Oryza sativa Japonica Group: one gene and its partner. The protein of the gene in region 1 binds, or shares a complex with, the protein of each later gene. Links are inferred from orthologs where the notes say so. Each region holds a gene or a part of one and is shown on either strand. Other genes may lie near its edges. The genes, in order: DNA topoisomerase 3-alpha and recQ-mediated genome instability protein 1.

Evidence for each region.
Region 2: DNA topoisomerase 3-alpha (region 1) and recQ-mediated genome instability protein 1 share a complex: the UniProt entries of both Arabidopsis thaliana proteins name them as parts of the RMI complex. The link is inferred for Oryza sativa Japonica Group from reciprocal best matches to the Arabidopsis thaliana genes TOP3A and RMI1.

Annotation. Positions count from the first base shown.
Region 1 is NC_089037.1:3,507,040-3,511,578, reverse strand, and holds the start of DNA topoisomerase 3-alpha, read left to right. Parts: upstream 1-1,645; 5' UTR 1,646-1,745; coding exon 1,746-2,051; intron 2,052-3,224; coding exon 3,225-3,403; intron 3,404-3,631; coding exon 3,632-3,704; intron 3,705-3,979; coding exon 3,980-4,102; intron 4,103-4,183; coding exon 4,184-4,305; intron 4,306-4,378; coding exon 4,379-4,451; intron 4,452-4,539. UniProt on the Arabidopsis thaliana protein: Releases the supercoiling and torsional tension of DNA introduced during the DNA replication and transcription by transiently cleaving and rejoining one strand of the DNA duplex.
Region 2 is NC_089038.1:19,598,718-19,603,218, forward strand, and holds the start of recQ-mediated genome instability protein 1, read right to left. Parts: upstream 2,878-4,501; 5' UTR 2,805-2,877; coding exon 1,953-2,804; intron 1,313-1,952; coding exon 1,142-1,312; intron 717-1,141; coding exon 571-716; intron 144-570; coding exon 10-143; intron 1-9. UniProt on the Arabidopsis thaliana protein: Essential component of the RMI complex, a complex that plays an important role in the resolution step of homologous recombination, in a process called Holliday Junction dissolution, to limit DNA crossover formation in cells.

The DNA of each region.
Region 1 (4,539 bases):
TGTGCTTTTGTTTTCGGGGCACTGGAGAAATCAAGTACACCTTTAAATTTTCAGGTACTCTTCAAACCAAACTCGTCTCTCTCTCTCTCTCACACACACACACACACACCAAAAAAAAAAAACTGTGCTTCCTCCCTTCTATGTTTTGTCAAGACATTGTGTAGTGGTAGTACATTGTGTAGTCCCACAGTGATCTGAACCACCGTTTGAGATCAGGAAAAGGATTCAATTTGGCAATGACTGTACAGTTTATTCTCACTTGTATTAATTACTTATCTTCACTTCAGTTGTTTGTTCCTGTTCAGGGAACCAGAAGTTTGGAAGATCACTGGAAAATCCTAGTTGGTGAGAGATATTAGTACACAAAGCATCGTGATGTCTGAGATATCTACATATAACATACAGATTCCATAATGATCTGCGAGGTTATTTGCTATTACTGGATCTTCCTTACGTCAAAGATGTTTCTTTTAGTCATGCCATGATACAGACAGACGAGTACTGCTTGCTAAGGAGTCACAATCAACAGAACGTGATTGATCAGAAGGAAACGGCAAGTGAGTTCAGGAAAAGGTAACATTCAAAACAATTATAAAAAAGATGTCATATTGAAAACAACTCTGCACAAATCAGGGCAATCAAAACTTCTGTACAAAAAGAACAAATGAATTGGCTGTGGAGGGTTAAAAGGGCTCCTTAAGAATAACCTCTAGAAGAACAGGAAAAGAACAGAAAAGAAAGAAAAAAAAAATGAATATTGTACATGTACATGTTTCAAAGCTCTCATGGTGTTTGGCATCTTCTTCCAGGATTGTTAGGATCATTGGTGCATCCAGATGCACCTGGCTTTGCTGAAGTTAAGAACACCGTGCTTCCCTGTCGTGGCTGCGATCTCGCTCCCAGCAATCTGGATGCATGACTGATGGTGATTGTGGTGCTGAAGATCAGCATGAAAATGAGAGCTAGAGGCAGAACTTGCTGTCTTCTGATCGGCATAGTTGAGCAGCTGACCTCCTGGTATGTTCTGAATTCTTGTGGAAGGCGAGTTACGAAGGCTGAAAAACTGGGGTGAATATAAAGACTGTGTCAACACGTATATGTTCATATGTTGTATAAATTTATAATGCTCTTGAGCGCGTTTGGTTCCTTGTGTGTCAAGCTTCGATGTGCCTACCCGAGGGCTCGACGCGTTGTCGCGGTCAGCTACGACTTGCAAAACCATTCATCACGTGGTTTTCATGTAATTGTAAACCTTGACCTTCGCATAAGAGAGCTTGACCTTTGGCATAAGAGAGTCTTCGTGTAGAATTCATACGAAATCCCTTTCACAGTTTCAACATTCCAGAGTTTTAAGTGCATGATCATTCAATACTATTCCGTACTCTCCAAGGCTCAGTAAGGAATGCTAAATCTCTCGTTTTCTTCATGTTAAAGAGGATGCAGCTTGAATGGTCGAATTCACAATTGACGGCTCCACCCCAAAAAAGTTCAGGATGACTCGAAGTCGAATCCGCGTAATACGCTGGCGAAAATTGAATGGGCCAAATGTAGCCCATATCCATTTTATTCATGGGTCTTTGAACAATTGAGCTCGAAAGCCCAGCTCTCTCTCGTGAAAAGCTTAACCGACCTAGCTCTCGAGGGCGCGCTCAGAACCAAAAATTTCGAAAAGGTAAGGCCGAAATCGCCGCCTCCTCCCTCCGGTTTCTCCCCCTCCCAGAGCGTAGCCTGCGCCTCCTCTCGCGATGCACCACGGCGGCGGCGGCGGCGCGATCCGCGTGCTGAATGTGGCGGAGAAGCCGTCGGTGGCGAAGTCCGTCGCGGAGATCCTGTCGCGGCCGTCGGGCGGGATGCGGTCGCGGGAGGGGCGGTCACGGTACAACCGCGTCTTCGAGTTCGATTACTCCATCGGCGGCCGCGCCTGCCACATGCTCGTCACCTCCGTCACGGGGCACCTCATGGAGCTCGAGTTCGACGACCGGTTCCGCCGCTGGCACTCGTGCGACCCCGCTGATCTCTTCCACGCCCCCGTTCGCAAGTCCGTACCCCAGGTACGGCTCTCTGTTTCCTGCTACCCATTTCTCCGAACAGTTGGTGCGCAACGCGCGGTGTCCTGTGAATTGTGCCCTCACCAGTCACGTGTCGTTTTTTGCATGGTGTGGTCTCTTAGTGTCTTGCGTCCATGGAGTTGGCTGTGTTTAACTCACGGTGAAATGTGCGGCACTGAAATTTCGTTGACTAGTTTATGTTCGTGCGTTTGGTGGTGTACTGTACCTGGATTCCAGTTCGTGGGGGCCTGAGGGTCTAATAATGAGTACCTGATTTGTACTATCAATGGATGCGTCTGCTGATTTTGTTTAGGGTACTGCACTTAAGGAACTCTATTCTAGGGTTCTTCAGGAGCTTGATCGGGGGACATCGCATGATTGCTACTCGTTTTTGAATTGGGAACCACTAGTGCTGCTGGTCATTTGCACTGTTGCGCAGCAGCAATCTGGTTCCAGTCATATACGTCTGTGTGTTGTACTATACATGTGATACATTAAGTTATTGTTATTGTGATAGGAAGAGGGATACAGTAATGCATAAACTGTCCTATTTGGTTATTTTGAAAAACTGAAGGCTATACTTGCTATTGCTGGTATAAGAGGGTAGTTGTATGCCGGGCTGGCCGACCTAGTATGATTATATGAACACCCTGGCAGATACTATTCTCAGGCCTCAGGAAGTCGGGCTTTTGTTCTGAAATTAAAGTTTATCCTACAACATCATTTATCTTGCAGAAAAATTAGTAAACTAGAGGCAGAAGTTAAACAGATATACAAGTTTCCTCTCATTCTTCCGTTCTTCCAGCATCAGGAGAACAAGATGCTACTCTTTTTGTCGGTTGCACTGCCACAACCATGCTGGAGCTTGCTTGTTGTATGTGATTTGGTGTAGCAGTATGTTTTCTCCATAGTCATCATTGATCTGATAGATTGCCTATGTATCTTTTCCTTTTGTCTTTTTAGAATCTCCTATCTTAGATGGATTTATTGGGTAACATGCAGGCATGCCTTAAATTGCTGAGAATGACCATGCTCATTTGTCTATTTGCCCAAACACGTGATCTGTTTTTGTGTTTTGATGCTAGTGGTATGGTCTGATGGTAATGAAGTTATAATTACTGCTCCAGTTTCTTTTTTTTTCAGCTGAGGTATATTCATTTTTTTAATTAATTGCAGGATAAGCAAGACATAAAAAGAACATTGGAAGAGGAAGCCAGGAAGTGTCAGTGGCTTGTGCTTTGGCTTGATTGTGATAGAGAGGGTGAGAATATCGCATATGAAGTGATTGATATATGCGCAGGTGCCAACAGCCGCCTCAACATTTGGAGAGCTCGTTTCTCAGCTTTGATTGACAGGTATTTGTTGCTACTGATGACTTTCTCTTCTTGATTGCAAAGATGGCATATCCATCTCCTGCATCGCACGGGTATCCCCATTCACTTCACATCCGGCCCGATTGGTGTTACTTTGAGTTAGTTGTATGGAGATGAACTATGGTGTTCAAGTTGACTGGATAAACCCGACCCACAGTCCCACACTCATCCCAAATCTCCTGTTAATGTCTTAAAGAAATGAAACTGCAGGGAAATCCATGAAGCTGTGCAACATCTTGACAGACCCAACAAGCTCTTTGCTGATGCTGTTGATGCAAGACAGGTAATTAAATTATCATTCCAACCTTTGTTGATGTTGCATTCTCTTGCATCACATCTACTGAGAAGTACTACAGCAACTCTAGCAAACTAAGGTCCTCGAAGAGCCTCTGCCACATGTTCTGACTATAATATTATAGCTTTTGTACTGGTATAGGAATGGAATGGGACGACGGTATATTTTCTCCTTCTTATATTATTCTTCTCAAATGAAAAGCATTTTCTTGCACCTTCTTAGTGTCTTGAAGATCTCCGATGATTATTAAGAATTTTGTACAGGAAATTGACCTTCGCATCGGTGCCTCCTTCACAAGGTTCCAGACAATGCTGCTGAAAGATGCATTTGTTCTTGATGACACTGGTGATGATAGGAATATAATTCTGAGTTATGGTCCTTGCCAGGTACTTCACTATAGAGTATGAACAGAAGATACTAAATGATGCCTACTTTCATCTTGGTGTAACATGTTCTTTGCATTGCAGTTTCCAACCCTAGGATTTATTGTTGAGCGTTTCTGGGAGATTCAAGCTCATGAACCTGAAGAGTTCTGGACAATAAATTGTTCCCACACTTCAGATGAAGGCACTGCATCTTTTGGTTGGATGTAAGATGCACTCGACATGTTGTACTGATTCTTTCATTACAAACGTCATCTGAGATTATTTCTTGTTTGGCAGACGTGGTCATTTGTTTGATTACTCATCTGCTGTTGTGATCTATGAAATGTGTGTTGAAGAACCAATGGCGACAGTGAGCCCTTGACATCTTTTATTTCAACACCAATGTTCACGAAATAATAACGATAAGTATCTTTGATGACAGAACAAAAGTACCAGTT
Region 2 (4,501 bases), on another chromosome or scaffold:
ATATAGTACCTAATCTGGTTGGATGAGGGGTATTCACTGTTCTTGGCACTGAGGCTCCTTGCTCGGCATCATTTGTAGCATTGGCATTTGTTGGCCAGGCTGCTAGAGTGGCTCTCGAAGACAATGGTAATCCACCTTGTTTCCTGCAGCATGAAGAGTTGTGACTTGTGAACAAACAAGCAGTGTCCTGTCAAGAAATGTTATATACACATTGAAAAACAAAATTTCTGGCATGCAACTGACTGGATAGATGTGAACATTGAGTATTTGTTTTGTTTAAACTTAGAAGCTAAATAAATTCCATGAAATTGAAAAGAAATGGAAGGCAAAGAAAGTTCCGTTGTTCATAAAGGACCTCCCAGCATATGGCTCCCACCATTACCACAGAAAGGCCACTACCACAGATCCTAAACAGGCACATTTGCATTTGAATGATATGATTTATCCAACTACTAGGATATTCGCAAAAATAACTCTCAAGTCATTGCTTAAAATCCAAGTTTGAAGCATGTGTTGCAATTAAATGTCATGTATGTAAATCTGCTCAATTCACTAATGCACAACATATACCTTTTGCCACGTGGCGGTTTGTTTACTTCAGAAACAAGCCTATTACGTGCTTCATCCAGTTCATCATCAACACCCCCAAGAATCTCAATGACCTCGGGCACCAGCATAAAAAGGCCTCTCCTTATGTGCACATTTCTTATAACAATCTGAGATGTGTTGACAAGTTATGAGCTGTTGATACAAAAAATAGCAAATGGAAAAAATGTCTCTTCCAGTCACACTATTTTGTATTATCACTTAGTCAATAGTTTGTTCGCAATCAAATTGTTTACATAGATTGATAAGCATTTATCGTTTAATTGTAGAAGCCTGTCTCCAGAAACCATTTCTTAAGAGAAAAGTAAATTGAAAAGGCAGGGAGTCTAACAGAGCACCAGTGACCATGGAAGCTACTATCTAGGAGGGAAAAACCAGAGTTTTGTGATAATTAGTTTGCTATATTGAATGCTAATGGATAAATCTAACTATGTTGTGTGAAAAAAAAATTCACTGATAATTTTTAAATGTAAACTAATAAAATGAACGCAAAATACAAATGTTCTGAAGAAAAAGGAACAGAGAAAGCAATGACCTTAAAACCAGCAGGGGCAAGAACTTCCAGGTCTTTGATCGGCCTGTATTCCATTCCATATATGCGTTGGATCCCATCTGTCATTGATAACTTTAAACATCTTTTGGGCCCCGCATGTGCATCACGATATCTTTCCCTTAAAGGAGCTGACAGGTTGACAATCTCATCAACCTTACAAACTCAAGAGTCAGTTAAACCATAGGAAAAAAAGAACAAAAGGAAAACCCCAGAACACATTATCACAAAAAAAAATGCAAAACTACAACAATGTACAATTAGTGTATGCTAAAGTTAAAAAATTATTGAATATGGCATGAGCTAGTGTATGCCTGTATGGAGATTGGAAATTGAACTTACAAGACGTATAAAGGCATCAGTGCTAGGAAAGAAATACACAGGAACTGACAACTACTTTTCAGAATAAGCAATTTACTGTGCTATCAAAATCATGTTTATTTCGGCGCGGTACCATTTGTGCTACGAAATTCAGCACTCATGGCACACTTGATGAGTTGATATACAAAAGAAGAAAACCACAGCTTTCCATTCTATTGAGTGTCAGATGAATCATGAACTACCGAACTGAAACAAGTAAACATCGACGGGCTCAAGCTTGAAGCACATATTTATTCCCTGAAAATACTAGCAGATATTTGATCTTAAGTGCCTTCCAAAATTCCGCAGATCACACCAAGCATGCCACACTAGGCGGCACCACAGCAGTACAGGTATAGGGAACCTAGAGCTCAGTAACAAAAGTATGACCAAAAAATTTAACCACGCATTCTAAGTAAAGAGAAAATGGTATAACCTGCAGCACGAGGGGGCCATCGAGGACGGCGTTGTGCATGCTCCCAACGCCCTCCGGGAGCACGCCCGCGCCGCACGCGTTCATGTCGGCGAAGAGGAACTGCTCGAAGCACCGCCTGGCCATCGCCTCCACGCCGCCGAGGCCGTAGAACCCGGGTACCCCGGCGGCGCAGGACTCGAGCCACTCCGGGCGCAGCCGCAGCCCGAGCCCCCTCAGGAACTCGTCCACCTGCCGCAGCGGCCCGCTCAGCGCAGACACCGGGGTGCTCGACGGCGGAATCGGGGACGGCGACGGGGTTCCCGCAGGGGATGGCGCCGCGGCTCGGGGCGGCGCAGATGGAGTAGGAGTTGGGGTTCGGGCCGGAAGAGGGGCAGCCCACACGGGAACGGGGGGTCGGGTCGGGGTCGGGGTCGGGGTCGGCGTCGGCGTCGGCATCGGCGTTCGCGCCGGAGGCGGAGGGGGCGGCGGAGGGGAGATGTGCTCGGGGGCGTCGACGAAGGGGGAGTCCCCATCGGGGTCCTCGATCTCCTCCACCTCCTCATACTCCTCCTCCTCGTCCTCCACCACCACCACCTCCTCCTCCTCCACCACCACCTCCGCCTCCGCCTCCTCCTCATCGGAAATCTCTATGGGAGGGGAAGGGGGAGGCGAGGACGGGGAGGGGAACTGAACGGGGACTGACCTAGGGTTTTGCGGCGAGGGCCAGCCATCGCCGCAGCCGCCGCCGCTTACGCTCGGGAAGGAGGCGGACGCCGAGGCGGACGCGGGGGTGGAGGCGGTGGCCGCGCCGCCGCCGCCGCCGCCGTCGTCGGAGTCGGAGTCGGAGGTGATGATTAGGTTTCGGCGCCTCATTTTGGGGGAGAAATTTTTGTTGGTTGATCGTGGGGTTTGGGAGATTTTGGTGGTTTCCCTCCAAAGTTTGGAAATGAGGGGAAGAGGGTTTTGGAAGGGGGGAAAGTTGGGGATGACATGTGGGGCCCATATGTCAGTGCCGAATTTTTGGACCGAGATGGGCTGGAAGCCTGGAAGGTTGGGATATTGTCGGCCTGGGTGAGGAGGCCTAAATAGGGAAAAGGGTAAGGAAAAGAAGTCCAAATTGACTCCCTCCAGGACATGTTAAAAGAGTGAATTGCACTTTGAGCTACTTCCTCCGTTTCATATTGTAAGACCTTCTAGCATTGTGGCATTGCCCACATTCATATATATGTTAATGATGCTAGAAAGCCTTATAATATGAAATGGAGGGAGTAGTACTTTTTACCCATGTTTCATTTTGGACTAAGGGTAGACAAATCTTTTCGCTTTGGACTAGGTGATTTTGCAAAAGTTTCAAACTGGACTGACTTTCTTCTCCATCTCTCTTCTTCTGGTTTTTTCACCATTGAGATGCTGCTATGGATCAACTCGAACAAACACATGACTAGGATTCCTTCTCTCGGATCCATTCCTGAGCTCGAACTCACAAAACCAAACCACATGGCTGCTCGCTGCTGCGGTTGTTGCCTGTGATCTCACAATCAAGTGATTTTTTCCAGCTCACATGATGTTGGAGGGAGAAAAGGAGCCAAAAGGAAAAAAATCAAGGTCCTGAATGATTATGATAGAGTATTGATGGGTGTGTTTAGTTACTGGTGAGCCAAGGAAATAGTGAGTGGCAGCAAAAGTAGCTAGGTTAGAGGCATGGAACACAAGAATGATCCAATGTGCAATAGAAGGTAACAAATTCCCCATCCAAAGTGAAAGACATGAAACATAGCCTAGTTCTAAGTGAAACTATGACAATAATAAGTGGTCTAAAATACAATTCACTCTAATGTTAAATTTGATTTGTTTTACTCAGTCGGATATATCAACTCCTCCACATATTAAAAGTTAAAACATGTACTCCCTCCTTCCCTAAATGTTTGACGCCGTTGACTTTTTTAAATATGTTTGACTGTTCGTCTTATTCAAAAAATTTAAGTAATTATTAATTCTTTTCCCATCATTTGATTTATTGTTAAATATACTTTTATGTATACATATAGTTTTACACATTTCATAACTCCACTGTTCCTAGAGCATCGTAGCCACAAAAATAAAATTTTTAAAATATACATGAGATCATATTGAAGTGACTTTTGAGAGTATTTAGTTGGACATTGTAATAATAATCATGTAGTACTCGATTAAAACAAAAAGCGTCTGTAGTCCAACGGTTAGGATAATTGCCTTCCAAGCAATAGACCCGGGTTCGACTCCCGGCAGACGCATCTTTTTTTCTTTTGTCTTTTTCTTTGCTTGGCATTCTCGTCAGGAACTTGAACACGCGGGACCTCGATCTTTCGTCATCATCATGTTTATCGGTCTTTCGTCCGGATTGATCATCATGTTTGGGCTTTGGCCATAAGGCTATTCACAGTGCGTATAGATGGTAATTCAGCTCCGATCGTCCACGTTGAAAATTCGGACACGGGCGAGGGGCGCATTGGGAGGGGCGTGGCCCCATGCGATGCCTCCATACCTGTGCAACGGCAGCATAGGGAGAAGAAGGAAAGATGGTGACTGTG